Rhinolophus ferrumequinum: one gene and its partners. The protein of the gene in region 2 interacts with the protein of the main gene of each other region in a pairwise test. Links are inferred from orthologs where the notes say so. Each region holds a gene or a part of one and is shown on either strand. Other genes may lie near its edges.

Region 1 (7,938 bases), on a different chromosome or scaffold from region 2:
TTCAGAATTTAATTACTTGAAGGAGTTGAAAAATCCACACTTAACTGTATGCTCTAGCTTCCCACAGAAGACTGCCGTTTTCCACTATCTCAGTTTTTTTTATCTGTATCACGGTACATACCTCCATCTGCAGACTCCAGTCCAGAATAAGTGGTCAAGGAAAGACGAATAAGGTACCTCATCCTGATGATGCTCAAATACAAACATGAAATGTTTAGCCACTGGAAACCTGGTGGGAGGGGCTCAAGAGCACACCAAGTTGGAGAAATTGGGTTGGCAAACTTAGAGCTTTAGGATGGTAAGTTGACATAGCATTATAGTTTAAAAATTTTGCCCAACATGAAGTCTGGTAAGAAGCTTGGGCTCCATGGAAAAGCCTTCCCAGTTTTTTTGGCAACAGTCAGACTGTGACCAGGTCTCAGAGGCTAGTCCTAGGCTTACCATCCAAACAAAATATAGGGTACAGAGAGCCTTATAGAGAAGAGTTCAAAAATATACATGAGGTAAAATGAAAGAAAATAGGAATATTGGGCATTTTAAAAAAGAGAAGTCTGGGAAGGAAACGAAATTTCCCATTTCAGTGTGGCTGGGTAGGTACGTAACTTAATAGATCCCAGCGGTTACCATAGAGCTAAGATATTGATGGCCTCTGGGCCTGCCCCTCTGGTCTATCTCCACATCCTTGTTGAGAGTTGTTCTAAAACTCTGCAACTCTCTTGCTTAAGGCCTTTCTATGGCTTTCCATCATGCTCAGGATCGAATCCAAGTTTAGTCAAGTCTTTTATTATCTGGTCCCATCTATTGCTATGCTTTGTATGCTGTATCTTAGCCTGCTAAATAATTTGTAGTTTCCCACCCTCTTGTCTCTAGGTCTTTGAGCATACTGCCCACGCCTGGAATACTACTCCCTGTATTTTGTTTGGATTTTCCTTTTCCTCCTAGAAGTTAGGGCCCTCCTATGTACTTCCGTAGTACTCTGCTTATCTGGTCACAATAATTACATTAATAATAATGTTTCCTTCTTTTAGACTTTGAGCAACTCGAGTCAGGCCCTGGGTCTTGTTTGTTGTTGCAGTCCTATCATCTAGCACAGGGCCTGGCACTCAGGCTCTCAAGTGGTTGCTGAATGGTTGAACTATAGATCTATAATAGGATATCTGGGCAAAATCACTGCCATGGGGTGGCAGTGATGGGGACTTAGTTGAGAACGAACCTCTAGATCAATGATTCCCAACGTGTGGCCCTAAGATACTTAAGAGACCACAAAAATTATAATAGAAATGGCACATTTATTTATCTATGATAAAGCCAGATGAACAACAGGGATAAAGTTGTTTGCTTTTGGCTAGAATATCAGCTGAGTAAAAACACTAGGCTTCACGTGCTGATCAGCTGGGCTGATGATACATCATAGGAATTTCTGAGACAAGAGTGATGGACCAGACGATTTGGCAATTTTTTATTTACCAAAAAACAATCATAAATAAAAGGTATCCATGAAGTTTTGTGAAAGACAGAATCTTGGGCCTAGATCATTATGGTGACTATTTTCATAATTGCCCGAATCAGTATGTCTCTTAGACTACGGACCTGAACCAAGGACCTTAGGAATCTGTGAGGTTTGAACCAGAGACTCAAGGGGCTTCAGAACTTCCCTAGGACCAAGACAAAGCATCTTCTCGAGAAGATGCTTTTTGTGTAGGAGGAAAGAAGGTGGTACCTGTCTCATGGAAACAAATGAAGCTGGACCCACCAAAGAAGGGCTAAACTGTTCCTTTAGGAGAAGGGGCCTAGAGGCTCGGTTTGGTTGCCTTCGTTAGAATTTTCAAGTCAAACACTTTTTATGGGTGTGTGTGTGTGTGTGTGTGTGTGTGTGTACACATGCATATATTTTTGGGGGGATATAATTTTTTTAAAAGTAGAACTTTTTTTTTTAATGTCAGTCTCTTTTAATCATGGTGAAATAAAATGAAGGCAGGACACGAGTATCTGAGTGCCTACTAAATACAAGGAATGATGAGGTATTTCCACATACAGGAATTGTCTCATAAACAAGAGTGGTAAGTTTACCTGCACTTGAATCAATATTGTCAGAGGGAACTTTATTTGGAAAGCAAACGGAAACAAAACCAAGGGAAGGTGAGAGAATGCAGGACAATCATCCAGTTGCTCCTTCTTATCTAGATATTCTTTTTGTTTTTATAAGGGAGGCCCTTCCTAACAGTGGGCTGACTCCTATAAATCTGCACGTTTTATTTCCCCCTTGGTTTGCTTCAGTTAAACCTGTGCCTGATATTAAGGAACTTAAGTGTGTACCATGGGTAGGGAATAAGACAATTGGGCTTTATTTTAAAGGTGAACTCCAATCCGTTCTTCATGTTTTGTAACTGTTTTCTCACAAAAAATAAGACATTGACTGCTTGATGTCAGCCTAGTAATTCCTCCTCTCTTCTGCATCTGGATGTGTTCACATACTTTCTAACCCTTTAGCTTCCGAATCTAGACAAACTATTTTAAAACGTGAAACCTATGTTTTGTGAACAAGGTCTTGTTAATTGTATTTTTTTTGGACTCAGAGAAAGCTTATGACTAGTCTGTAAGGTAAGTGTGTGACTCACTCTTTAGTCAGAAAGTGCTACTGCAGTTGTCAGCAATGCCCGTTGGTGAGGATATTGGTTTGCCAAGTTATTTAACATTTTATGGTATAAAGACACCGAATCATGTTAAGACTCTGGTATACTGTGTTACCTGATATCACTCTTGGCTTTAAATCTGTATTATTATAAAGGAATGATAATAATAGCTTTTGCCAAGTGAAATCTATACTTAATTCTGCATCACAAGAATCTAATTCTTACTGTCAAAATGAAGTTTTCTCTGAAAATATCTTAAACTTATACTTGATATACTTTCTAACAGAAAAGGTTCTTTGGAAAGACTTATCCAACAAAAGTCTACGGGCTGTGCAAATAACATAAAATGCACTTCTGAGAGGATCATTTTTGCTTCAATTTGTTCCCTGATCATATTATATAGCAATAGATAGAAATAGAATTTCTAGAGTTTGGCTAGGGGTAAGAAGAAAGATTGGAATTTTTGTCTGGGTTGGCTAGGGGTGAGAGGAAAGACTGGAAAATCAGGAGTCTATTAAACTCAATTTCCACGTAATTATTCAAATAAAATTTTAATAACTTCAGTTCAATCCAACTGAAAATGTAGTGTCATCAAAGGGCATTTCCTGCTAAATTTCAAGTTACAGGCTGTGGGCTATTTCTGAGCAGAAGCATCATAGTCTACTGAGCATTCAGCTTATTACCTAAGGTGATTGATGGCATCGTGGCGAGAGGTGGGGAAGAACAATGATCAGCTCATAGAATTTGGCTAAGAAAGAAAATAAACAAAAACAATGCAAATAATAATTAAAGTAGCTACAGATATTAAAATAAAAATACAACTCCAAATATTCACCTCTTAAATTACTAGGAAAAAGTTACAGGGAAAGTTACAGCAAATACAGTCTTTACAGATTTGGGTAACTTTATTTGCCTTTGATAGTGATTGTTAAGCCCTATATCCAATGAAACCATTTTTAAAAGCTCTATGAGGAATGGAAATTTAGATGTCTATTACATTTTTCTTAAAAAAAACAAACAAACAAACAAAAAAACCCTTAAATTTCTGAATGGGCAAGATTCACTTTTGTAGGTAGAGGCCCTGCTTCTTCGTGATCTTCAGCTTTAGATCTAACAACCACAAGAGAAGAAGCTGGGTATCTGTTTAGCTTTTGTTCGTTCACAAATTCCAAGTCACCATAGATACTCAGCTTCTGCAAAATAAAATCAATACACATTAGCAATTTGGATAATTAATCTCTCTAAGATTTCAAGTAATTTTTTTTTTTTTGGTAAAAATAAAAAAAAGATTGCTATAGACATTCTCAAGAATGAAGAATGCCTTTACTCAAAGTGTTACAAATATGAGATTCAGCTGCCAAGGATGGCCAAAAGAGTTTTTTCTACATGTCCCAACTTAAAATATTTAGAAGTATAACAACTGAGTATCAAGAAAAAATTGCTCAGATTTAAATGAAGTTAGTGTGGCCACACCAAGAGCTCTCATTCTAGATGTTTGATATCTTAAGTGATTAATTCCTTTAACTCTTAACTCTCCAAACAAGTTGTCAAATGATTTGATTTAGTTTCTCTCCTCCTAAATGTTTTAACTTAATACATTTGGAAAATACGTGCTATTTTAAAAGGCTATGAGTAGAACAAAGAATATACATGAAACATTTTAACACTGATAGAAAGATCTTCATAAACATATAAAAGCTCCTCAAATTATTACCATTATATCCAAGAAGATAGTAAAACAAATCAAAGAAAGCATAAAACAGTCATTGCAAATGTCATAAAATTCACTGGAGTACAATGGTCACGTCTAATATCTTTGGAAAGTATTTTATTTAGATGTAGGTCTGTCTCCTAAAAGTAAAAAAGTGAAGTGAAAAGTTTTTACTAAGAAATGGGATAGATTTTGTTAACTCACTTCCTTGGCAACAAATCTCAGAATCATGAGTTAAAAATTGAAGTTCTGACGTTACTGATAGGGCAAGTGACTAGATTATACAGCAAGAACCACACAGAAGTACTTAATGTTGGAAAGGTGCATTTAAAAGACGCTGAATAAAGAGTTTAAGTACTTATCAACATTGATACATACTACAACATGGATGAACCTTGAAAATATTATGCTAAGTGAAAGAAGCCAGTCACAAGGGACCACATAGTGGTTGTCTATGGCTAGGAGTGGTGATGGTGGTGGTGGTGGTGGTGGTGGTGATGCTTGGGAGGAAATGAGGAGTGACACTAACAAGTGTGAGTTTTCTTTTGGGGGTGATAAAAATGTTCTAAAAGTGACTGGTGTGATGGTTGCTTACTTAAACATGTTTCAGATATGGTCTGCTGCCTACGCTTTCAAGGCAATTGCTACCCTATAATAAGAAGATGGCCCAGTACCTTATACTTTTGCAGTAAGAGAATAACTTCCAGACAAAATTCAGCAGTTGATGGATTGGACATGGATCTGATATATGTGGCCTCCTTAAAACCCAGAATTAACATGTGATAATTTGCTCTGAGTCATTGTGAAAGAAAAACTTTCAAAACTCTACCTAACAACATTTAAAGACCTTGACACAGCAACCAGGAACTGTTTGAATGATTTCAAACATCAACATGGAAGAAAGTGAAGAGATGGGAGGTGAGGTGGGAGATAACGTAAAGAACTAAATTCCTCATCCTTCAATAGGAAGACATTAGATAATATTTAAAGTTGATAAAACAAAAAAAAATAGAAGATAAAATTTAAAAATGGTAACTATTTGGAAGTTTTATAAAAATGACTGATTTATCTGAAGAGAAAAATTTAACTTATGTTACATGTATTACTTCTAAAAGTTAGAAAAATAAATTCAATTAGTAAATACATATTTGGGCTTTAGGCCTGGACTCTGTCAATAACCATTACACAATCTTGGATAAGTTACTTAAATCTTTTCTAAAACTCAGTTTCTTAACAGAATTTGGATTAAAAAGCTGTAGCACTCACATTGTTTTCTAATTGACTTTTTTTATAAGACTTAAAGCTTCTACAAGGATCTTGTAGAAAAACAAGGTTCTTAGTCTTGGTTTTTTGACAAAGAAAATACTGGTTATTATACTTTAAGACATATTTCACCCTACTTCCTGAGTCACAGAAACCTTTAACATTTAACTTTCTTCTGTCTTGATCTTATTCTTCATTGTATCTTTAATCCCTTGAACAGGGCCTGGCACATAATAAGTTATCCATAAATGTGTGTGATTTACTAACACGAATGTTATTAGGAGTCTTTAAAGCTCTTCTTAACTGACCACACAAAATCAGATGATCATGGTCTTGACAAATAGAGAAAAGGAAGCACACATATAAAGATATAATAATAAGGCAGCATCTATATCAACATCTGTTGCTATAGCGAATTTCTGAGGCTGCCTGATCTCTAGGAAGGAATACCCAATACTGCCAAACCCCATTCTGGTATGCCAAGATTGGCCTGCCTGTCAAGGACCACTATGAATGACAGACAACTCTTCATTATCTTAAATAGATAGCTCAACAAGAAAAACTGCCATCCCATTAATTTTAAAAAATGACATCATAAATGTGACAGAACAGAGGAAAAAAGTAAAGAGGATCAGAATCTTTATACATCAAGTCAATCAAATAACACCGCTTTAAGATCAACCAAGAAAATGAAATTCTTTGCTAACTCTTAATGGCTATTACAAATAAATGATATATAATAAATACCTAACTACTACATGCAAAGCAGGCTAAAGATAAATTATTTCAGAGCTTTCCTAAATAAGAAAAATAAAGCTGCTTATACATTCCTAAGACCACATTCCTGACCTTTATCACCACCATTTTAAGCTTTGTTTCAGTGACTGAAAAGGAAACTTTTTATATTTCATGTTTAAGCTCCAAGAACCAAGGCTGTACTAAAGACACACATTCTCTCAACAGGCTTATGATTTCCTACAAACATACAGAAACATATATAAATAATAAACACAATATAAATAACATTGGTCATAGATGGATTATTCTCGTAGGACTTAAAATGGAGTCTTACTATGGAGAGGGGTCAGCAATAACTTATGCTCCAATAAAATCAATGAAAAGACTTTCTGAAAGTAAAGTTTAAAATAAATGGCTTTTGGCCAAAAAAAAAATTGAATAACATTTCTAACGCTAAGTTCTCAATGATTTTTATAGTAAACAGAGGGGGAAAATATTTACACTGCAGTATTTTTAAACAAAAACAAAAACAAAAATTGTTTATATTGAAAGAAATCCACTAAAATGGCAACACAACAATATTTCTGGATGAAAGGATGATTTTTTTTTCCTGCTTCTTTATATGTACTTTACAAATTTCCACACTAAGTATACAGTATTTTTATAATAAAAATATAGTTGAAACAACCTTAATACCTAGCGGAAGTGTGGTTTCACATACAAAGTAAAGCCTAAAAGCAGTGAATCTAAATAGCTATTTCCACACACTTTTCTAGAAAATATGTCTCCTCAGAAAAGTCTAGACTCTTTGAGGGTGCAGCCATACTTTAATTGTTAAAGCTAGGAAGAAGAGTTCAAAGAGGGGCAAGAAAATAACATTCAGAAGGCAGATAGTTGGAGAGAATGTAACAGCCATCACCAGGTCTCCACGTGGGTCTAAATGCCTTAGGCTTTATGGTCACTAGGATCTAGGAGGCGGAAGTGGGAAAAGTGGGAGAGAATTTCTCACAGAATTAAAGCTATACAATCAAAATTTATTACTACAGAGACAACATCGAAAAGGAAAAGAAAGATCAAGAGTCACCTGGAAAGGAGGGAAAGATCCCCAGATCTAGAAAATGTGACCAAACTACAATGGTAGTTTGGCATTAACATATCTAAACAGTATCAGAAGAGGAGGTCACTTCCAAAAGTCAAATAAGGTTAAGAGAGGAAAAACTATGAAATGTTCATCTAAGAACTACTTGGATAAGAGAGTTGGAGCATCCTGGAACAAAAACATGAACCATGTGGTCTCAGTGGTATTTATCTTCCTAGTGTCCGAGGGCACACAGGACATCAGCTCCTGATATGAATCTCATAATCAACTCTCCTATTCTGATTCCAGGATAACTAAAGAAACTTAAAAGTACTGGCTCTGGAGTCACACCATCTGGGTTCAAGTTCTGGTTCTACACTTACTGGTATGTGACACTGGGACAATTATATAGTCTCTCTTGCAGTTATTGTATCTGAAAAATGGGGATAATAATAGCAGCCATCTCACAGAATTAGTGTAAGAATGAAATGAGCTAATTCATATCAGTGCCTAGT
Region 2 (7,769 bases):
CTGGCACCAATGATTAATGGTCATGTAAACTTGGATGTACAGGAAAAGCTTTCTCAACAGGCCCTCAATGAACAGAAAACTTCAGAGGCCCACTGATGCATTGGTATTTTATTTTGTGCACTTTTATTTTGTCCGCTTCACTTTATTATTGCACGTCACAGATGTTGCATTTTTTACAAATTGAAGGCAAGAGACCCTCCACCAGCAAAAAGATTACAACGCACTTTAGTTTTTGTTTTTCTGTGGTGATCTGGAACCAAACCCACAATATCTCTGAGGTCTGCCTGTGTATTAATATAAACTTCATTCTGAAAGACAGACTAACGCTGTAGCTACTGGAATCAATGGCAAGCTGCTCAGAAAAGGGCCATCTGTTCTGCTTCTGCTTATGTTAGAGCTACCCCAGGCTTTTAAGAAGCACAGGGAAAAGTCAGAGAGGAGATGGGGTGGTGGGGGTGCACAGAGCAGGCAAACCAGTCCTCTGCTGCCTTGGGAACGTGCCTGGGTCATAAGACATACAGGCACTTCAAACACAATTTAACTCTGTTTCTCCTTTTATATTTTTTCTGATAAGCAATAATATGTGCCATATACACAATTTTTACAAAACACAAAAATACTTAGAAGAAAAACCTGTAATTCTACCCCCTAATCACTGTCTACATTTTTAAATGTTTCCTTCATCTTTTTCATGTGCATTTGCATTTTCTACAGGGCAGATATCAGTTAACTCTTAATTAACCAGAAGATCATCCAGCACCCCAGCATACTACCAGTATGGCTGCCACTGGTCTAAGCATTGTTCAATATACCACTGTCATTTAATAGCTGGACCCTCTAAAAAAAAGAGACACTTCACTTATACTGAAAAATAAACATAGCTCGGTTTCATTACACTCATACCTATCTCTATATTCTTATTCTTTCACCATAAGCAGCCCTTAATCAGTGGAATTAGTTTTCTTAACTCAAATATACCAAAATGAGGTCTGAAATAAAACTTGCTCTAAGAAAACAGAATGACCTTCAAAATGAACTATCTTTACAGACCTTGGTTGGTGTTTCCGTGTAAATACTGCTGTAACTTGAATCAATTTGCAGTTCCTATGACACAAACATTTACTGAGTGTCTACTACATGCCAGCCCCGTTACTGTGAGAGTACAAAGGAGATGAAACATGACCCCTGCCTTTTAAAGCCTCACCATCTAGAAGGGAGGACAGAGATACACAGAGATAACCGTAGTCTAGGAGAATGTGATCTGTGAAACAGAGGCACAAAGGAAAATGGAAGAAAGTCAGATTAATTCTGTACATAAACATTTATGGGGCTGGCCTGGTGGCTCAGGCGGTTAGAGCTCCATGCTCCTAACTCCGAAGGCTGCCGGTTCGATTCCCACATGGGCCAGTGGGCTCTCAACCACAAGGTTGCCAGTTCAATTCCTCGAGTCCCGCAAGGGATGGTGGGCTCTGCCCCCTGCAACTAAGATTGAACAGGGCACCTTGAACTGAGCTGCCGCTGAGCTCCTGGATGGCTCAGTTGGTTGGAGCGTGTCCTCTCAACCACAAGGTTGCCGGTTCAACTCCCACAAGGGATGGTGGGCTGTGCCCCCTGCAACTAGAAAACGGCAACTGGACCTGGAGCTGAGCTGAGCCCTCCACAACTAAGACGGAAAGGACAACAACTTGACTTGGAAAAAAGGCCTGGAAATACACACTGTTCCCCAATAAAGTCCTGTACCCCTTCCCCAATAAAATCTTTAAAAAAAAAAAAGAAAAAACATTTATGCCATTGACTTTTAAACTGATAAACATCTAAAAATGATACAATCTGGTAAGGACATTGATTTAATCTGGGGGAAAACAAAGGGCACTCAAGTACTTGTCAGTCAGCTGTCTGATTTAAATACACATGCTGCACTAAATCAAGAATCCTATTTTGATTAAATGAAGATGTAAGCATTTATTTTTTCTAACGGGAGTTCCCCTTGTAACCCATCTGTTTCCTGAATTCTACCAAAATGCGGCTCTTACTTACCTGTCACAGTGAGAGCTGCCTCTTGAACTACTCTGTCCTGATTCATGTTGTGCATCCAAGAGAATCTTCTCCATGTCTCCATTGTGGATGGAGGATGAGGAAGGGACGTGTTCCAGCCCCCCGTTTTTCCCGTTGCCATTATCATTGCCATTGGTGCTGTTCATGGGTAGCTCCACCCAGGAACCTGTTGGACAAGTCAGATAACTTACGTTAACCACAGCAGAACTGCAGTCTGTCATGTGCACACAGATGTGAATATGGGGAATTCAGATAAGTCTGACTCACCTAAACCAAATGCAGAAAGAATTCTGAAGAAAATAAGCAAAGAGCAATAAACATCTAAAAATCTATATAGTTCTGTCCCTGATGTAGCTCACATAAGCAACCAATTTAGAAGCTGGGACTCTAAAACTAGTATCTTAGAAAATGTATCTTTCAGTCAATTTTCTCTCTGGTTAAAGCTTAGTTTATATACAATAAACACTTCAGTAAAAGCTTTTAGGTCACTTTTTAAAAAATAAATCGCTATTTTATTTTTAGACAGGCTACTTACCTTCAATATTCTAGTTATATATGATTTTTTCATAGTCTACCCCAGCCATTTAGTTGTATCCTCTCCACAAATGAAATAAACATACGACTTAAAAACTTCATAAAAGTCATCTAAATAAATTAACAACTAAGTCATACTTAGCACAAACAACTGAGAAGCTCCTAGAGAGGGAACTTAAATACAATCAAAAAAATTTCAATTTGTGTACAAATCTGGAGCATAAAATTAACGCAGCCGGCTCTCAACTAAATCAGGTTGCTAAAAATTCTGAAAAAAGTTTTACCTCTATCCCACGAATTAGTTTCTTCCTTTTCTTTATACCTCACTCTTTCTCTACGCATTAAACATACCTTGTGAACTTGTCTTTTCTCTCTTCTCTCCCACGAGTTCCTACTTTCTAGGGTTTTCATTAAGCCTCATTAGTTTTGCGGGGCAGAAATGGCTGAGGATCTGCTACAGGCAACACTTAAGTTTTCTCAGGGGAACAAAGGGAGTGGAGCCACAGGAAAGGGGCGTGGCTCTGGTAATTTGGCTAGGTCTTGAAAATATTTATTGGTTCAATGAGTTTGCTGAACACATTCAGGTAGCTAATGTGTTGGTGGATAGAGGGTGAGAAGGGACATGTTGGCAGCCAATAAGCCAACCTTACAACAAAAAGAGACAGTAGTGTATGTTTTTTCTCATAATTTCCATTCTTTACAATAAAATTTGTTTTAGAAAGTACAGTCAAGCGGGTTGGTGGGGCCATTCCTCTAAACTCCCAGCAGAAGCATTAGAGAGAGTTTTGTGGCTGAACAGTCTTCTACCAGTAAATCAGAATAATCATGAAAACAGGTTCGAAACCCAAAGGCACTCTAAATGAGGTGATGACTATTCCAGATCCAGAAGTGAACTCAGCATCATCAGAAGGAAAAGCTCAAAGGCAAACCTGGTTGGAAATCTGACTCCACCCCTTACTATCTATCTGACTTTCTGACCCTGAGTTTCCTCATTTGTAAAACAGATTACATAGTACCTACCTTCCAGGGCTGCTATAAAGATTAAATATAGGAACATAGGTAAAGGACCTAGTAAACAGTAGATGCTGTTATATACTACTTAAAAGAGTTTTTATTTGTAAAGCACTTAAAACAGTGTTTGCTAAATAAAAATGAAGTTACCCTTTCCTTCCTTTCCCTCTAAGGCCGTCCCGGGGTTGTCACAATCCCTTAATCAGCACCGATTCTTTGGGACGATACTGTCAAAAAACAGTTGTATGACATCTCCGTGTTCTCGTTCTATATACACACAAAAATGGACACAGACTAGATAGAACTCAACATGGATCAACAAACTTAACTAACAAAGCTAAGACAGACCTAACACTGAACGTAATTTTACTAAATATTTGCAGTGCCTCTGGCGTGTATAAAACATATGCCAAACGCAGTCCTAAATTTAGGGCTCTGCAAAATATTTTAACTAGAAAGAGAGAGACACAGAAAGACAGCGGTATATGATAAACTTTTTTTCTACTGTTTCTAGAATTTTCAAACTTACTTTAAACCAATGGGACCTGTTCTTCTTGTACAAAAGCCCAATGTGTAAAATAAACAAAAACAAATAAAAAGCCTGCTTCTGCTCTGGCAGAAGCAGGACTGCATAAGCTATCAGGAGTTCTGGAGAGGTCTCTGTGGAAGCAAATCTTCCTCAAAATAAAATTAATGTTCACTTGTAGCTGACCAAAGAGAAAAAGGGGTGTAACAATAGCAGGTTTTCTAGACCTTACTTTTTTGAAGGATTTCTAAACCATTTCTACTTCCTGCAAAAAATATGTAAGGAATCATAACCTAGGAACTTGAGGAGACATACCTAGAAAAGCTTAGTGAAGTGATTTCTGCAATGGCCCTAACCCTCAGCCTAACTGAAGGCATTTCTACTTTAGGCAGACAATATTGTTTGTGCATATATTACTAGTATAGTGGTTAAGTGCACAGACGGAAGCCAGACTCCCATCCTATCACTTATACCTGTTACACCCTAGATCTCTCAGTTTTCTAATCTGTAAAGTAAGAATAATAACTGTATCTACTTCATAGTTAGGAGGATGAAATGAATAAAGCACATAAAAAAAATACAAAAGGTGCCTAGTACATGGTAAGTGCTATGTGTTAGCTAATGTTATAATTATACTCCTTTAAAAAAAATTATTTACAAAAATGTGTTCCTTGAAAATGCCAACATCAGTACATAAAGTAGAAATTAATACTTCTCCCAATCTCACATTCCTATACCAAAGGAAACCACTTTTAAAACTTTTACATGTAAACTTCTAGAGCTTTTACAAAAACATGGAATCATACTGTATATATCTTTCGGTAAGTAGCATTCCTTACCTAACAACTTGCAGATGTCTTTCAACATCAATATATATTGCCTTACTTCATTCTTTTAAACATTGCTTTGCTTCTCATCATAAAGCTATACCATACTTTAACCATTCTCCAAATGGCAATGGTTAACCATTAACGAAATTACTGTTTCTAATGTTATTAAAATCAAGGCTTCAGTGGAGGGTAACTTGGCAATATGTATTAGGAGCCTTAAAAAGGTAGATTTCCTTTAACTTAATAATTCTCTTCCAGAAATATCATCTATGGAAAAACAGTACTGCAGAGAAAATTATGTACACAGATATTCATTAAGAGGCTCCATATCAGCTTTATCTTTTGAGAAAAATGGGGGGGAAAGCAAACTTATCTTTCTCAATAGATGAACTACATGTGCCTTTTTTCCATCACCTAGTTTACTCCCTATTCACAGCCTCAGAATTTTTTAATGTTCTAATTCTACCAATCCTAAGTCCCTTCTTACTTGGAAAGGAAACATGGTCAGATATGATTGTGCTGTCCAAGCAATACAAAGTAGAAAACAATCTCAGAGTGAATTCTCTTTCTACCAATCAAGCTTTAAAATTAAAAAAAAAAAAAAAAAACATGCAGGCTCTATTATATTCAAAGCCTCCTTACAAACTGAAAACTGTTCTGTCATGCCGGATGGTACATATACACAGCACATGAGATATTTTCTAATACAAGTTTCTGAGACTCACTAAGAGATTCAGAGACCCATCCTTCCACTTTCTCCAACATAGTAGTACATGGCGAAGGTTGGTCCAGTGATTGTCATTATATTCATGACTATTGTTGTACACACTCTTCATAGTTTTATGGTCACCAGTTCAATCCTCTTTCAAGAAGGGGTGTGGGAAAGTTAGGGGTGGGGAGGGAGAGGGAAAGAAAAAGAGTACTAGTTCTCATTTTCCACAAGATGACAAGGCCCCACGTGTCACTCTAACCCTAACCGGGGTGACACATTTCATTATGTCTTATCTTCTTTCCCCAAAGCCTTTATTTATTTCAAATACCTAATGCTGGAATCCAGAACAGAAATAGTCACTGACATTCCTATTTAAAAAAAAAAAAAAAAAAGAATTGGTCTTTTTGCACAAGCAGGTACTCAAGACACCAGTTACTTATGTGTTAAAAATAGTATTATAAACAGTGAAGTTTCATGTGTCATAGCCTTAAAAGCCTTCCTGTCATACTGGGGGAGCAAGAACGTCATGGTAGATGTTTAAAAAGGAGAAAAAAGGCTGTGCTTCCCATGTTAAACAACAAGAGTTATACTGCTACCTTGATTTTCCTATTACCTTCTGATTTTTACGACCTATATGTCCTACACAAATATTCTTAAGTAACTTAATAGTTTTCTTAAGAGTAAAACTAACAATAGTTTTCTTAAAAGTAAAACTAGAAAATAACCTTTTAGCTTTGGAAATAATTCAGATCTGTGTGTTTACTAATTTGTAATCAAAGTGAATAGTTCCCCTACGATGGTAAACAAAAAAAGTCAGAGAAAGATTTCATTATTCCAAATATTTCAATAATTTGTTATTAACACTCTGCTTTGACCCTTGAACTAAAGATAAAATCCCAAGGCAGAGATAATCTCTACAATGAGTTCATCTCCTGTTTTTCACAGTTTTGCAAAAAGAAAAAGAACTTCAACTTATCAGCAATTTGGGTAGCACATGTTAGATGCCTGAATAAGCTGTTCTGCCCAAAAATCACTTGAAGGAATCAATAAGGCTTCTTGTTTTGTTCAGTTCAGTGTTGTATAATGAGCTAAAAAAAACAAAAAACAAAAAAAACAAACACAGTAAAAAGCAAGAGGGGAGTAATTAAATATGGCACTATCTAAAAGCTTTTCAGTAACTTAAAAGGTCACCCTACCCCAAATAAAATACTTTCTATCTAGCAGATTTCCCAAAGCAACATTTTGATATCACACACATGCTGAGTGTTCTTCCACTTCCGAAGAGCTAACATAAACGTAGCAGCAACTGCTTGGCCAAGAACATCACATACCTCACGGGTCTGTCAGACATGGAGATTAAACAATCACGTATAGCTCAACCCCATTGTTTTTTTTTTTGTTAAATGGTGAAAGGAAATTACAATTCCTTTGCTTTCTGTGAAATCATGTACACATATTAACCAAACAGCTAACTTATAAGTATCACAGGAACACAATGAGTACAATTAAAGAGACAGTGTACTAAAAAGAGATAGGCAGGTGACCTCTGTACATTACACTAGGTGGAGTAACATTCTGAGAGAATAAGAACCACACAATTGGGCCAACCTGGTGGCTCAGGTGGTTGGAGCACCGTGCTCCTAAAGCCGAGGTCACCGGTTCGATTCCCACATGAGCCAGTGAGCTGCGCCCTCTACAGCTAAGATTGTGAACAACAGCTCTCCCTGGAGCTGGGCTGCTGCGTGCTGCCAGGAGCGGCCGGCAGCCAGCCCAGCATGAGTGGCCGGCAGCCAGCGAGAGCTGCCGTGAGTGGCTGCTGTGAGTGGCCCAGCTGCCGCGAGCGGCGCACCGATGACCGGCAACCTACTGACTCAGCTGGGGGCAGCACAAGGCTCATCAGACCAGCATGGGCCAGGGAGCTGTGTCCTATACAACCAGACTGAGAAACAACACAACCAGACTGAGAAACAATGGCTTGAACCCGAGTGGGGGGGTGCGAAAGAAGGGGGAAAAAAAAAAAAAGAAACACGAGCTCAGGGGATTCTGGTCCACCGAAAAGAAATGTCCTGAAAGGAGCACTAGATTGGGTGAAAATAAAAAC
Region 3 (8,004 bases), on a different chromosome or scaffold from region 2:
TCTGTGCACCTCAGAGAGACTTGAGAGGATTAAGTTAGTGATCTTGATTGTGAAAGGGTCGCCAGGGAGAGCCCTGCCAGGTGCCAGGTGTTATCCAGCCGTTTCTGGCCCGGCTGGAGCAGTGAGGGAAGACCGCCACTCTGGCTGATAGCCTCCGCCCATCCTAGTAACGTTCATGCGGGTCCCTTAAGATGGGCTAGCCCCTTCAGATCTGCCCACAGTGATGTCTCTTGTGACAGTGTGACATGTGGTCCGAGTGCTATTTGGGGGGTTCTGGGCAGGCCCGGCTGTGTGACCTTGGGCAGGTCTTTTCTCCTCTGCATTTGTGAAGAGAGGGGCTTCTTCCCCAGAGCCCTGGAGGCCTCCTGCATGGGAGGCAAAAGGTCACCAGGCAGGGGCCCCCAAACCTTACTACTAGAGAGACTTTGCCTCTGTCATTTAGTATGTTGGGTTTTACGGGTGAGATGAGGGGTTCTCTGGCTTTACAAATGGCTCTTGATCACCCGCTCCTTCTAAGAGCCTTCTCCACTGAGCTAAACTGAGCTAATCGCTCTGAACCTGCATCATTCCTCCTTGCTGAGTCTGGGTGGGAAGAAGGCAGTCTACTCTGCTGTGCAACCTCAGGCCAATCACTCAACCTCTCGGAGCTTTGGGTTCTTGGCATATAAAATGCAGATAATCCTACCTACCTCATAAGTAAGGCTGAGGTGAAAATGAAATAGGATGCCCTCCAGGCAGCCCCTAGCCCGGTGCCTGGTACATGGCAGCCACCTAAAGGACAGGCAAGTCCTTCCACTTTCAAGGTTATGACCATCACCTGTGCATGAGGCATGAGTGACTCAGCACTTTAACAGTTGTTTCGTCCTGACCCTGTGATCAAAGGATGAACAAGACAGGGACCCTCCCTCAAGAACTAAGTCACAGTAAAGGCATTCCCAAACCATGGCCTTGACTCTCCAAATCACCCCATTCCCTAGACCCGCCTCCAAAAGTCACCCCTTACCAGCCCTATGGGGGAGTAGAACTGGCTCCCCAATGGCCTAGGACCCGTTTGAGGTCTCCCTCCCACCCCACCTGTCCAGGATTACAGCCTGAGGGTACCATCTTGGCATTCAGTCAGGACAGCCTGTGTTAAAATTCCAGTTCTGCTCTCAACCATGGGACCTTAGACAAGTGGTTCTCAACTGGGGGAGATTTGGCCTCCCAGGGGACACTTGGCAATGTCTGAAGACATATTCAATTGTCCTGAGGGGCAGAGGTGCTACTGGCATCTAGTGAGTAGAGACCAGGGATGCTGCAAAACATCCCCCTGTGCACAGACACTCCCCACACCAAAGAATTATCTGGTATCAATAGAGCCAGAGTAGAGAGACCCTGCCTTAAAAGAACGCCTTTCCTCGTGGGTCATATGGGGCTAATTGCGGGTATGTACCTTGTAGAGCTATTGTGTAGGATCCACAAGGGAACGCGGATCCCTACTGTCCGATAACAGGGCTAACAGGTCCTCATACCTACTCCCTGCATGAGTCAGTCTGCCTCTGGAATCCCTCCTGGTCTCATCCTTCTGCTAAGCCCACTCCGTTTGCCTTGCCTCTTGCCAGGCCGGCGCCTCTGCGTCCTTGCTTGTTGGTCTCCATGCCCCTCTTCTCTCCTTCCTGACCCCAGCCTTCTCAAGCAGCCAGAATCTTACCCCTCAGACCCCATCGCATGCAGCCCCAGCTCCTGTCTCCTCTCCATGTCTCCCGGCCTGCCCTTCTTCGCACACTTCCCCGCCTCACCTCTGCCCAGCCTCTGCCCAGCCTGTGTCCAGACTTCCTCTGGGCCCCAGTCCACCCCAGCACCTCCCACGCCTCCCGCCAAAGTGGCATGAGATAGTGAAGCACATCTTGGATTTGGACCAGGCTGCCTGGTCCAAGTCTGAGCTTGGCCTATTACTTACTGTCTAGTCTTGGGAAAGTCAGCCTCACCTGTAAAACGGGGACGCTCCGACCCATGAGGTAGTTTTGTGGACCAACCTGAGAATGTAGGTGAAAGCATATAGGTCCCGCTTTATATTTTTATTGTCATAGTGCTTACCACCTTCTGACTAACTGTAATGTTGTGTATTTATTGCCTATATCCCTCCACTATAATGTCACCTCCAAGAGGACAGGGATTTTTGTCTGTTTTATTCACTATTGTACCCTAGTGTCTAGAGCAGTGGATGGCACATAGTAGGTGTTCAATAAATATTTGTTGGATGAGTGAATTCTCTATCTCTATATAAGGCACTTCTATAAAGTCCCTCACTCTACTTCTTCTAAGGACCTTCCCTTCAAATGCTTGTAACTTAATCAATGCAGTATCCCCATTTTATAGATAAGGAAACTGAGGCTGAAAGAAATGCAGTAACTTGCCCAGAGTCACTCTCCTGAAAATGGCAGGGCCAGATGCATTTGTTCATTTCAAAACACTGAGCGCCTCCTGTGCGCCAGGCATTGGGCCCGTTGTTGGGGACACAGATAACCAAGACTTGGCCCCTTCTGTCCCCACAGCACTTTTGGGAGGAAGGGTCCTCGAGGGAGGCCCAGGATGCTGTGGAAACATTGGAGGGCCCCCCTCCCAGGTCACTGGTCTTCAAGACAAGAGCTCCTTCACTGCCCAAACCATCCCTTGGACTCAACCACTGTGTTCTGATTATGCTCCAGCTCCCAGGCTTCTGGAACCCATTTGGAATTCATTTGCCAGGTCAGGGTCCTATACTGCCCTTTAGCCACTGTGGTTGGTCTTGCCTCTTCCTATGTTTTTCCCACCAGTGAGCAACTGCCTTGAGACCAAGCAGAGTAGCTCAGTCCCCATGTCTTGGTAGCCACTCTGGCCAGATGAGGAAACTGAAGCCCAGAGAAGTAGTAGCAGATGTATTATCTGTCACATAGTAGGGGAGCGGCAGGACTGGGACCTGGGGTCCACCCAGTCCCAACTTGCCACGCACCCCTCAGCAGGCTCCGTCTTCTCAACTGGCCTCTTCCACTTTCTCCGGCTTCTCTGGGACTGGGGACCTGTACTGGGGATCCAGAGTTAGGACTGAGTATTCAGGAGAAAGCCCAGCTTTGAAGCTCAGATTTAGGATTGAGGTCATTTTGGTGGTGGTGAGGCCCTGGAAACTGGGACTCTGGAAAGGGCCTAGAGTGAAATTTGGGGTGGGGTTCCTCCCACCTCTCTTCTGCCTCTTTTCCCCAAAGATGAGGAGGTCCGGGATAGGAAGAGTTAAGTGTGGTTTTGCTTCCCCAGCCAGGAGGGGAAGCCAGACCGGGCGGGGGACTGGGTGGGGCAGAGTGGGGGCTCTGAGTGTGGGGGGGGGCTGAGGCAGTGGGACTGCGGGAGCCCTGCCCCTCACATTTCACTGACTCTCCCACCCCCTCCTCTGCTCCCAGTTTGGGAAACAGAAGAGGGAGAAGCAGAACAAGACTGTTTCGTCTGGGGAGCCCAGGGTGGGTGCCACGCCCTAGGAGAGAGGTAGCCGAGTCCTGGGTCCCTCACATGTGTGCATCCTGGATGCTCTGCACTGCCCAGTACCCTCCTAGAGCTGGGAACCTGAGCATCCCCGCCCTTCCTGGTGCTCCTCCCTAAACACTCAGAGCTCTTGCTGTAATCCTACTGCAGCCCCTCTCGTCCATCTGAGGCCAGCTCCAGAACCCACAACAGAGGGCCTGACCAACTCTGCTTCCTTTGCGTATTACAGAAATCCTGGTGTCCTGGAGCTGTAGGAGCTAGCAACATAATTTAACTTTCCTGTTTCCTCCTCAGAATAAGTTGTGGGATGCCAGGGGCAGGGCACCCATGGCTTCCAGCGCCTCAGCTCTGCCACCTCTTAGAAAAGATAATGTGGTTGGTGGGGCCAGAGCCAGGATTAGGGGATGAGAGTGGAAGACTGACCAAAGGGGTCCTTGGTGAGGCCCAAGGATGGAGGCTGTGGAGCCTGGGGTGGGAGCCTGGGGACCTGGGTGATCCTGTTTTGTGCGAGGGCCTGGCCCCTCCCCAGAGCCAGCTGTAAAGTAGACCTGGCTGCGCAGGAATGTAGATAAGTGCAGTGCTGGCCTTTGCATCCAGCAAGGTTGTGGGAGCTTTGTTGTCTCTGTTCCCCACTACCCCCTTTCTGGATGAAACCAGGATGGAGACTCACCACTGGCCATCCAGCCCCCTGCTCTGCTCCCACTTTCAGGCCCCTTCAGGAACCACAAAAATCTAGGACCTGATGTCCTGGCAACGTGATGAGTGCACACACAGCTCTGGTATCTGTTTTAAATTATCCATTAAAATAAGTACAGTCCTGGAAAAAGAAAAAAAATCAGTACAGCCCTGGATTTGGCAGGGTGGGGTAAGCGGTAGGAGGGATGAAGGGGGAGGGACCTACACAGCCTCTTTTCCCAATTGCTTGGGTCCAAAGGAAGGTGGTCAGGGGATGGACCTCAGAATCTGGAACTTTGCTGTGTGCCCCCAGGGATTCCTTCCCCACCCCACCCTGGCATTCTGAGATGGCAACTTTGAATGGGCTGCCCACGTGTGTGTGGGGGGGGTAGGGGTGACTCACTATTACTATGGGGAGGAAAGGGGGAGCTGGTGGTGGAAGAGTGAGTCACCCTGATGGGCACCAGCCTCAGCCCTCCCCCCTCCCCTTTCCTGGATCTGTCTGCCTAGCGCCCTCCCTTGCTTTACATCCACTTTCCCTCTCCCTCCACTCCCACCTTTCGCCCACCCAATCTCACCCCTTGGCTCTGCCCTTTACCCGCAAGGCCTGAGGCAGTGGGGGCAGGCTTGCAGCCGGGAGCGCTGAGCAAGCGGGAACCAAAACGCGAGCTTCAGCGAAGCCCGGGGCAGACTGAGGTGCGAGGGAGAGGGTGGGGCTCCACTCCGCCCGAGCTGGGCTGTCCTCTGCTCTGCTCGCCACTCCCGCCCCCACCCCACGGGTATGCGGCGGCTCCTTTAAGAGCAGTGGCCCCTCCTCCCATTCCCAGGACCTATTAGAGCCTTTGCCCAGTCGCCGGTGACTCAGTGTTCGCGGGAGCGCCGCAGCCACTGCAGCCAACCCGGATCCCACGTCCGACAGCGCCGGGCCCAGATCCCCACGCCTGCCAGGAGCAAGCTGAGAGCCTGCCGGCCGGCGCGCTCCGACCCCGGCCCCGGCCCCGACCCGCCTCTGTCCTTCGTCCCGAGCCCCGCGCCCTTCCCGGGATCCCTGCCCCGCGGGCAGCACTGCCACCCTGCCGGCCATGGAGACTCCGTCCCAGCGGCGCGCCACCCGCAGCGGGGCGCAGGCCAGCTCCACCCCGCTGTCGCCTACCCGCATCACCCGGCTGCAGGAGAAGGAGGACCTGCAGGAGCTCAACGACCGCTTGGCGATCTACATCGACCGTGTGCGCTCGCTGGAGACGGAGAATGCAGGTCTGCGCCTTCGCATCACCGAGTCGGAGGAGGTGGTCAGCCGCGAGGTGTCCGGCATCAAGGCCGCGTACGAGGCCGAGCTCGGTGATGCCCGCAAGACCCTCGACTCGGTGGCCAAGGAGCGCGCGCGCCTGCAGCTGGAGCTGAGCAAAGTGCGCGAGGAGTTTAAGGAGCTTAAAGCGCGGTGAGTGGGCCCAGGTGGCGGCACGCCCAGGTGGCGGCGGAGGGGCAGACTGGTCACCCCTGCCCGGCCCCAGGCGGCTGATAACTTTGCCATATAGTCTCCTCCCTCCCCGGAACTGCCCCTAGCGGGTGACTGGCAGTGCCAAGGGAAATCGGCAGGACAGGACAGAGAAGGGAGGGGTCTCTGGGAGATGGGTATCCAAGGGTGAGGGCATCAGGGCCAAGGAGGGATTGGTGGTAGGCCCGTTCAGTCAGGAAGGTTTGCCAGCCATTTGGAGCGGCGGGAGGGGCTTGAGCAAAGCAGAACTGACCCCACCAAGTCTAAGAAGTCTGGGCACTGCAGGACACATTGGAGTGGGTGAAAGGGTCCAGTTAGAACTTTCTTGGCAGGCTTGGCACAGTGCCCATTTTGCCCAGCCTGGGTCTGAATACATGAGGTCCACTAAGACAAACTCCCAAGTTGGCATATGTCCACTGGTGCTGGAGAGAGGTCACCAAGGCAGGGTGACAACCCACCCCCCACCGCAGGGGCATGGAGGTGGCCCCCTTGGCTCGACCCTATCCGGGTTCTTTCTAAGAGCTGGGAAACTCTCCTTCACTCACTGCATCTCTGGGACCTTCTCTGGACTCTGACAGTCCCCCCAAACAGCTCCAGGAGAGTGGCTCCCAGCTCAGGCTCCCCCGCAGCTCCCACAGCCCTTGGCCTGCTTGGCCCAGGAATGCAAGGGAGGGAGGCAGAGGCTCCCACTCAGGAAGTTGTGTTGTGCCCAGGTCTGGCTGCCCGGGCGGGCAGCTTCCCCGCCCTCTGCCTGGTGTCTTGGAGGGTTTAGGACTCTGTCCCTCTCGGTCTCCCTCCCTTGGGGTGAGCCACTTTCATTTTCCCAGCCAGGCCCAGCCGCTTTTGCTCTGTCCCATCCTCTCAGTCTGACTTTTTTTGGTCTTGGCCTTAATAAACCGGGAATACAGTGACATTTTTGAAATCCAGCCGTTGGAAGCTTTAGGCCACTCCTCCCTCACCCATCCCGGCCTGGCCCCACCCTACCCCACCCTACTTGACTCCACCCTCTTCTAAAAAGAACTTTGGAGCCTGGAAGTTTAGCCCCTCTTCAGCCCCCCAAGAATTTGGTTTCCTCCTGTCTACTGCCCTTTTCACCATGAAGACCTAAACCAAAGAGAACTAATGCTGCTTGCAGATCTGTGGTTGTGGGGGCCCTGTGGTTTGACTTCCCCTTATCTTCTCCAAACTTTTGCTCTTAGCTCTCTGGACATGCCTTCACCAGTCCCCAGTCCAGGGGTCGTAGGTGTGGCAGATTCATCTCTTGTAAAGAGTAGTGAGTTGCAAGTCGTGTGGGGAGATGGGCTTTTATTCCTGTTGAAAGGGGTCGCTCCTGTCTTTTTCACTAGTGATGTGGACGATTTAGTTAGCAGGACAGACAGGAGGTAAGCTTGGGGAGTCCCAGAGAATGTCAGTGTCGGAAACCTGTCCACTCAACCACCTTCGCAGATCCCAGCGAAGGGCTTTCCTGGCTGATGGGGGAACGGCACGAGTGGAGGCTTGGTCCCATGCTAAGCCAGCCACAGCAGTCTGTCTCCCCTGCCTTCTGGTGCAGCTGTCCAGGCCTGGGACACCAGGCGGGGGTGTGCACACGTGGGGTAGGGGCGGGGGTGGCGTGTGTACATGTTATATTTAGCCACCTGCCTCTCTTCTCCCCCACTGATCCTGGCTGGGGAGGCTGGGCTTCCGGCAAAGGGGGGTGGATTTGCACACCTGGATCCTAGGCGGATGGGCGGCGGCAGGGTGGAGACAAAGAAGGCTCAGACTGGGGTGACAGTCACCTTCTATGTTCCCAGTGGGAGGAGCTAGGATTTGTTGCTCCCTTTCGCATCTGCTGTGCCCAGGGTGAGGTGGAGAAGAGTAGAATGAAGAATTTGGAAGAGGAGGAGAGGCCCGTCTTGTCCCAATTTCTCCCACTAAAACCTGGAGAGAAGGTGTTTAATTAGAGCTCCAAGTTCAGGTCAAGGTTTGTGTTGGGATACAGAGCTGTCTGTAAGCTCCTGTGGTCCGGCCTGGGTACCTCGACCACACCCAGGGGTTTGGGATGCCCTCTTATTGAGCTGGATTGTGGGCTCCAAGCAGAAACACTCCCCCCATAAACACACATACGCACATTCTTTCTATCCTGGAGCCTAAGTGTAGGGAGAACAGGGAAGGCCTGCCTGGGGTCCAGGCTTGGAGCAGGGCCCCACCCCAGGCAAGACAGCTGGGTGGGTGACTCAGCCTGCCCCCCTCCCTCCCGCCCTGGTGGCTTTACAAGAGACAGTGGGAGAAAGCAGATGTCTCAGAGGGAGGGATGGGGGCCTGAATGTCTGCATCTCCGCCCCTCCCCCTGCTCCCCGCTA
Region 4 (7,713 bases), on a different chromosome or scaffold from region 2:
CCTGTCGAAGAGCTACGAATTCCTTTTTACTATTATAGAAGGCTGTCTGGTTTCAGAGATCATCAGTGACTTGTGCAAGCCAGCTGTAACACTTACAGAGTTGTGCCCTTTCTGAACTCTGTTTTCTCACCTCACAACGCCTGATAAATGGAAGGGGTTCAGATGATTAACTATTATTAGCATCATGACTTTTATTGAGTATCCCTTAAAGTAAAATTTAAACACACTCACACACACACACACACACACACACACACTACAGATATATTAAAGATTCAACCTAATTAGTCAAGCATTTACTTGTCAGAGAGGATATAATTTTACCACTACCTCAAACTCAGAGATAGCCACTAACAGCAGCTTTCAAAAAACTGACCAAAAAAGATTACTGAAAATTATGTGGTTGAACCCAATATGGATTTTGAAAGCTACTAATGGAAGAAAACAGGACAGGAGCATTCAGTTAAATACAAAAAAATCGTCCTCTCCTTCCAACATCATGGCTTGATCATTAATGTGCGATTTGACCTGACCGTGTCATTTCGACTCTGTGATAATCCTTAGTATCCAAAACGGGACGGCCATCAGGTGACCTGGAAGTTCAAGTAAGAGGCTGCCCAGGAGGTCAGGGGAAAAGGCGTGAGTGGACAGTTATTACCTTGAGCTATTTTTAATGTGCTGCGACTCATGCATTGTTTGTCTATTAATTACACTCACTGGAAAAAGAAACCTGGGAAGTTCAGAAATGTCTTATGCAACAGGAATCAGTTCACCACTTAAGCCAGAATGAAAAAGATGACAGAAGTGTGGTGGTAGAAGGATTGCAACGTCAGTCAGACAGAAGGAAATCGACAATACTTTGGCAATGAGAGATTCTGGGGACATTCTCCAAGCAAGGCTACACCAAGACCCATCCAACTGAGCATCCACTCCATGCTTGCTGGTTTAAAGAAAAAACATTCAGGTCCACAGGTGAGATAAATGTAATTTTTTTAAGCACAGTTAACTTTATAATAAAAATAGCTGGACAGCCATGTACACTAATTGCCTGCATGAAACTAGTATTCATACTCTAAGTCTAGTACCAATTATTAGTTTTTGGTTTTCTGTTGCTTTTTGCAATCATTCTTGCTTCTCATATGTTTTCCTTTAAGTCCATCCTAATTTCTTCATAAGAATAGGCTGAGGTTGATTTAGTGTGGCTGATCCAATCTCACAAGGAAATAGATCTGTCTCTCTCAGAAACCTACTCCTGCCTCTATCAGACTGTCTAGCTCTATCTTTATATCCCATTTCACAGATAAGGAAACTGAGTCCAGAGAGGGCAAGTGATTCATCCAAGGTCATACTCCTTGCTAATATATTTAAGACTAGAACTATGGCTCAAAGAGGCCCCCAGTGTAGGTCTCCAGCTTAACACTGTTGCACATGACGTGACAAACTTGTGTCTTGAATACAAAGTTTATTGGGGTGGCGGGGGGGAAGCCAACATGAGTCATCTCCAGTCAAGTGGCACCCTACAGGTTGTTCGAATAATGCAGTCAGCATCTCCAGAACCACTTGTTTCGGAAATAACCAACCTCAGCCAGAGAATAAAAGGCCATGTTTTATACCCCCTTCAGGATAACCAAGATCCTGTAAGCAAAGGTGCGACTGGGCTTCAGGGACCCGCTAGCCCAACCCAGGGAAGCGGACACTGGCAGTACTGGAGAGGGAATGGCGTGGGTGTAGGTGGTCCGAGTTGTGTGTTTCAGACATTTCCAGGCGACGGTTATGATATCAGCCCATTCCGACTCACCTTGGTACCCTTAAATATCTCATTCATTGATGGGGTCCCTCCTCAACTTCCGCAGGACAAAAGCATGCAGTCTGGGAGGTGAATGTGGCAGACGGGGAGGAGCGGTATTCGACCCAAGCAGCAGAGGAAGCAACGATTGAATCTCTCCCCCCACCTCTTACAGGAACTCCCAATTGGGTCTTCAGACACCAGAGGTGTCCCCAACTCTGAGCCTGGCCCCTCCAAGGGTCTACAGCGAAAGAGGCGGGAGGAGGCAAAGCCCCAGTGCTCTATGCAGCAGCCGGCTGGCCTCCGGCCCCCAGGCTCGTCCCTCGTGGGCCCTCCTTTCCTCCCTCCCTTCTCACCCGCAGAGCCCCCGGCTGGACACTTGTCCACTCCCGCCCTAGATCCTGCGTGCACCCCTTCCTCCCCGCCCACAGAGGACCCGTGCCTGCCACCTCCCCAAATAGGGCCCTCCCGGCCGCCCTGCCTCCGGCCGGGGACCCCCTCTCCCCGCGTCCTTCCGACCTCCGAATCCGCCCGGCACCCGCACTTCCCGCCCTCCACACGCAGGCTCCCGGTCCGCCCCAACTTTTCCCGGCCGCGGCCCGGGCCCCGCAGCCGCGGGGATTCCGTGTCCCGAGCCGCGACGGGCGGGCGGGCGAGCTCGCATTCCCTCTGCCCCTGCCCGCCGAGCCGGCACGAGTTGCGCTTGGGACCTGCTCGGCGCCCGGGCCTCAGCGGTCAGCCCGGCGCGGAGGCGGAGGCGGAGCCGGCGTGGCGGGAACCGCGCTGTCCCAGCGCCCGCACTCCCGCCGGGTGCCGGGTCTCCCAGCCCGCCCGCCCGCTCCGCCGCTCCCTGCCCACCTGCCCGCGGGCGCCGGCGCCGCTCACCTCCTGCCGCGCCGCCGCCGCCACTGCCGGGAATACGTGGCAGTGGCCGCCGCCGCTCGCGCTCCTCGCCTCGCCTTGCCTGTCCTCTCGGCGCCCGTGCTGGCGGCTCCGCCACGCCGGACCGCAGCGCCAGGCGCCCTCTGCCGCCAGGAAGTCGAATCCTCTCGCCCTAACCCTAACTCGGCGGCCGCCCCCGCCCCGGCCTCCGCCGCCCCTGCTCCTACCAGCCCCGCCCCTGGCTCGGTCCCAATTCGCTTCCGAGCGTGGGCCGCGGAGCCAGGAGACTCGTCCTGCGAGCCCGGCCCCGGGCCCGCCGCCGCCTCCGGGGAGTCTGCCCTGACCACCCAGCCACTCGATGCGCTTCCTCCCGCTCCAGTGCAGCCCGGGCAGAAGTCATCCTCCCGGGTTGAGACATTTCCTGTTTCTCTGCTTCGCCCACAAAATAGTAAAATCAGGAGGGGGTGGTGGTTAGGGGAGCAAACGTGTCTCTCGTGCTCACCATTCTCTCTCCTAGGGCGGCTAGAGTAGCGCCCGCCTGGTATCCTGAGATGCGCAATAAATACTTCTTGAGGGAGCGAAAGAGTGAATGAATGAGGAGAGATTTTTGCCTCTCCCCACCCAAATAGGCTTTTAAGCCTCAAGATATCCTGACGTGGATTTGTGTTATTGTAAATCACACACACACACACACACACACACACACACACACACACACACCGCGCGCGCGCGCGCCCGCAGCTTTGCATGAATAAATGGGATTCACAATTCCCCACCTCACACTAGCCCCGAAGCCGCAAGACACCCACAGCTAAATATTACAGGATTTTAGTCAAATAGACTTCGGTTTTACATCTACCACTTAAAGGCTGGGAAAACTGATCTCCCTGGGCACGGTTACCTCATCTGTAAATTAAGAATAGTAAAATCTACTTTTGTTGGGAGCCTTAATTGAGATCATGTATTGTATGTAAAGCACTTCACACACACACACACACACACACACACACACACACACACCCATGCATATACTGTTGTATATAAATGGTAGCTATTGTTGGTACATTACTGACCTAGGAGATAATAAAAACTATAGACAAAATGTAAAATAATGGCCACCTACATTTTCAAAACCTGAGGACAACGATAATACCTCTTTGTATATGTGGTATTGTCACCTATCCAACAGGGCCAGCCCTGGGAGCAAGACCTCTTCAGTCCCTCCTCTCCCCACCCCCAAGAATGAACTGGTCTTGATTTTAGTAAGAGCTGTAGAAGTGGCTCTCCTGCAGGTTTTCCACCAGGGTTTCAGTGGCCAATCTCTCAATTAACAAGTGTTTATTTTATTGCAAGGCAGTGAACAGGTTTGGGGCCCCTGCAGGCCTCTTACTGGTTTCTTCTTGCCCCTCTCTCTAGGCCATCTTTTCAGTTCTGACAGTCTCCTTCCTGCTCCACACATAAAGCAGCAGTGAAGTGGCATCAGGTGGGACTGGGCTGGAATTTCAGTCCATCCACCTTGGGCTTTCTGTACCTCAGCCCCCTCGATTGTAAACTGTGGAGAATAACATTTATCAGTGGTATTGAGAGGGAATTGGTGATCCAGTCTGTGAGTGAAGTCCCTGGACTGTGTATGTGTTTAATACAAGGAAGCTATTGATTAGTTGATTTAACAAGCACTTGGGGCACATCTCCTGAGTGTTGTAGGTGCTGTGAAAGTAAGGGAAATAAACCTGGATGAGGTCAGATTCCTATCCTCAAAAGTTTGAGGTCTAGCAGATGAGATAGGCAAGTACCTGTTAGAGCAGAGGAATTGGGGGTGCATGGGTGCATGGATGGGTGCAAGTATGAAATTAGCAAGCCTCAAGTTCCAAATTGGGACAGAATTGCAGTGTGAATTACTTTAATTCATTATCATTATAAATGCCATTTTCCTCTAAATATTATGTACGTAACTTCCCAAGGCCACTACTAAAAATTAATGAATAATTTTATGAGGCAAGCAGAGCCATTTAATGTCGGATTCAGTCCCTTAATAAGGTGACTTCAAATGCTTCCTTATATTAATAATAATGTGTATATTGTACCTTTGTGAACGCACTATCATTTATATAAGTTAAAGTTGCATATCTTGCAATCCATGTCTAAGAGGGAAAGTTCACATATTGTTACACTAATGGCCTCAAATGAATCATATGTCGGTACCCACGCCCTTAGGGTAGCCCCCTCCCATATTGACCCTGTTCTTGGCCATGTCACATGCATTGGCCACTGGGACATCAGAACATAGCAAAAGTAGGGATGTTTGATGAGCACTTGTACAGTACTCCTTCCTGTTTTGGAACGCAGTATATAAAGTAAAGCAATGTGATCTAACTTCCTTGAAGATGAAAGACCCAGTCAGAGAGAGGCTTGCCATCCCAGCTGCGGCAGTCCCCAGCCAACCCACCAGCTGAATGCAGCCACATGAGTGAGCCCAGCCAACCCAAGAAGTGTGAAAAATAAAATGGTGGTTGTTTTAAGCCATTAAGTGTTGGGTGGTTTGTTATACAGAAATAGATGACTGATACGCACATCACACGTAGGCATTTTGGAAGTTGCAAGGACTCGGTGAAATTCACTCAAGAGTCAATACTCTCATTAGTGTTTTCTGTCAAGAAGCATCCACTTGAAGTTACTGTGTCTCAGATTAGGGGAGTATCACACATTATGGAATGCCTTCTTTCAAAGTTCTTCCTTGAATTGGTTGCTGAACCAAGTACTATTTGGCAGCCAACATGATAATGAGCTAGTGATATTGGCTTTTAAGCCTCTTTAAATTTTATAAATCCTTGAAACACAACAATTGTTGTACAGATTGGTTGTGTTTATTTCTCCCATTTTTTCATCAACTACTTCTGATGGACACCTTGTCCAGTTTGACAAGGTTTCACCATAGATATGAAACATTACATAAAGAAGGGAAGTTAGAGGTCAGCTAATCCACTACCTCATTTTATAGATGAGGAAACTGAGCTAAGAGAGATTAGAAGATCCTGACAAATTCCTACGTTCCTGGAGCCTGCTCAGAGTAGAACTGGGGTGGACAATTCAAAGCACTTCATGCTGTTCATTGGATTGTTCTGCTTTTCCTTTGTGACATTTGTTGCTACTAAAAATAGTCTGCCAAGCTCAAAGTATCTTTACAACCTCCCTTTACATTTAAGACAAAATCCAAACTCAGTCTGGCCCCGCGAGGTCTGGTGCAGGGTGGTTCTACTCTAACCCTCCCTCAGCACATTGCCCACTGCGGTATTTTCTTTTTTTGTGTAACTCTACTCAAGATTCCAAGCCCTGAAAGAAAGTCAGCGTGACCTAGCTTAGTCACCTGCCCAACCCGAGCCAGAGAAGAATGGGACTCCTTGAATGTAGGACCCCAAAGATAATCATCGGGGCATTGTAACCAGAAGAGAAAGTGGATCTAAGGTGACAAAACCAATGAATGTCACTCCATTACCCCTCAGGCCTTAGCTTTCTCAGGAAAGCTTTTCTTAAAGGTTCCTTCTGTTATGCTCTGTCATGACACTCCTAGTTTTTTCCTGTTCTTATCACATTTTGTAATTACATATTTATTTGTTTGTTTCTTTCCTGTTCTCCCTGCATGAGAAACAGGACATTGTTTGTTTGTCCACCACTGTATCCTTGTCACCTGGTATAGAGACTGAGACATAATCGGCTCTCAATAAATATCTATTGAATGAATGAATGATATGGGCTTAGTCATTCTTCTGACTCATCCATTTGACATTAGCTTTGTAGAAACAGGCGAGAAAAGACAAAGAATATGACGAGTATAGGTTTGTGGAAGACATGCCATGCTGGGTCCCTGTGTGATGCTGTGAGAAGAACAAGTTCTCACACTCAGGATAAATGAGGAAACACTACCTTGTACTTCAGAGATGTGCCATGTTGTGCTATGCTGCGCTGGGCTGGTCTTGACGGATAAATTATTTAGTCAGTGAAGCAAGGTGGGGTGGGGCCAGGGGACGGAGGAATCTAGAATAGGGAAGGCTGAGTGCCTCAGAGCATTTGCTGAAGTAGGAACCCTCAAAACTGAAACTGGGTTTGTAGCCTGGCTGCAGCTGTCAGAAGAAAAGATCATGGCGCACGTCCATAAGCCCGCTCCCCGGCCAGCCTGTGCCCGGCTGTGTAGCCTCTACAGCAGAAGTCTCAGGCTCATTGCCTGGGGCCACAGGTCCATGGAGGGGTTTCTGCCAGTCAGGTCCAAAACGAGAGCTTATTAGAGCAATGTAAAGCAAATGGATTCCATTTTTGTACCAGTGAATATTATATTTGTGATCAATTATATTGTAATTGATCAGTTTTTTGGTGTTTTGTTCTTTGTGTTTTTTTTTTGGTGAAATAAAAAATTTGCTACCTCAGTTTCTCCCCTAAATGGTTTTGTGATGTTACTGGTCCATGCAATCTGAAGGCCTCAGGAATCGCCACTTTACAGTCTCATAGACCTGGGCAGTCCCGACTAGGGTGCCTCAGACTCGGTAGACCAGCCCTCAACGCACTGTTCTTACAATTGTTTCAGTCACATCCACCCAGACTCTGTTTCCTTTTCTGCCTCATGCCTTCTTGACAGTCACTTTAGCTCCACTGACCAGAACATGGAGCTAAAGAAGCTTCGCTCAGGACTGCATTCTGGTTGTGGGTCAGGACAGAGCCGGCCATGGCTCTAGACATGTCCTGTTGGAAATGAAGCCCTGGGCTTGAGGTCTGGTCGATGACCAAGTATGTGTGTGTATGTATGAGTTGTGATCAAACAATATGGTGAATGTTTGAATTTTTAAAAATGTATTACAGTAAAAGACACATTGCCATTAATCCCCCTCAAAATACTCCTCCTTGCTTCGAACACACTTATCCCATCATTCTTACCACTTTCTGAAGCAGTTCTGGAAGTCCTCTTTCGTGAGTGTCTTTAGTTGCGCTGTTGTGGCTGCGTCGATGTCCTGAATCATTTTCACTTTGGGGAAGAGCCAGAAGTCACACGGTGCCAA

The links.
Region 1: the proteins of BNIP3L (region 2) and LDLRAD1 interact in binary tests that used the Homo sapiens proteins (3 or more experiments, as listed by UniProt). The two-hybrid records come from large-scale screens. The link is inferred for Rhinolophus ferrumequinum from reciprocal best matches to the Homo sapiens genes BNIP3L and LDLRAD1.
Region 3: the proteins of BNIP3L (region 2) and LMNA interact in a two-hybrid assay, tested with the Homo sapiens proteins (2 studies listed by BioGRID and IntAct). The link is inferred for Rhinolophus ferrumequinum from reciprocal best matches to the Homo sapiens genes BNIP3L and LMNA.
Region 4: the proteins of BNIP3L (region 2) and SMCO4 interact in binary tests that used the Homo sapiens proteins (3 or more experiments, as listed by UniProt). The two-hybrid records come from large-scale screens. The link is inferred for Rhinolophus ferrumequinum from reciprocal best matches to the Homo sapiens genes BNIP3L and SMCO4.

What each region holds. Positions count from the first base shown.
Region 1 is NC_046292.1:38,714,005-38,721,942, forward strand, and holds the start of LDLRAD1 (low-density lipoprotein receptor class A domain-containing protein 1), read right to left. Parts: upstream 3,018-7,938; 5' UTR 122-3,017; intron 1-121. Other genes in the region: TMEM59 (transmembrane protein 59), read right to left, coding at 3,671-3,826.
Region 2 is NC_046301.1:40,967,177-40,974,945, forward strand, and holds the start of BNIP3L (BCL2/adenovirus E1B 19 kDa protein-interacting protein 3-like), read right to left. Parts: upstream 3,018-7,769; 5' UTR 3,001-3,017; coding exon 2,874-3,000; intron 2,222-2,873; coding exon 2,038-2,221; intron 1-2,037.
Region 3 is NC_046305.1:711,861-719,864, forward strand, and holds the start of LMNA (lamin), read left to right. Parts: upstream 1-4,994; 5' UTR 4,995-5,249; coding exon 5,250-5,605; intron 5,606-8,004.
Region 4 is NC_046294.1:64,733,586-64,741,298, forward strand, and holds the start of SMCO4 (single-pass membrane and coiled-coil domain-containing protein 4), read right to left. Parts: upstream 3,007-7,713; 5' UTR 2,672-3,006; exon of another isoform or gene 2,645-2,671; intron 1-2,644.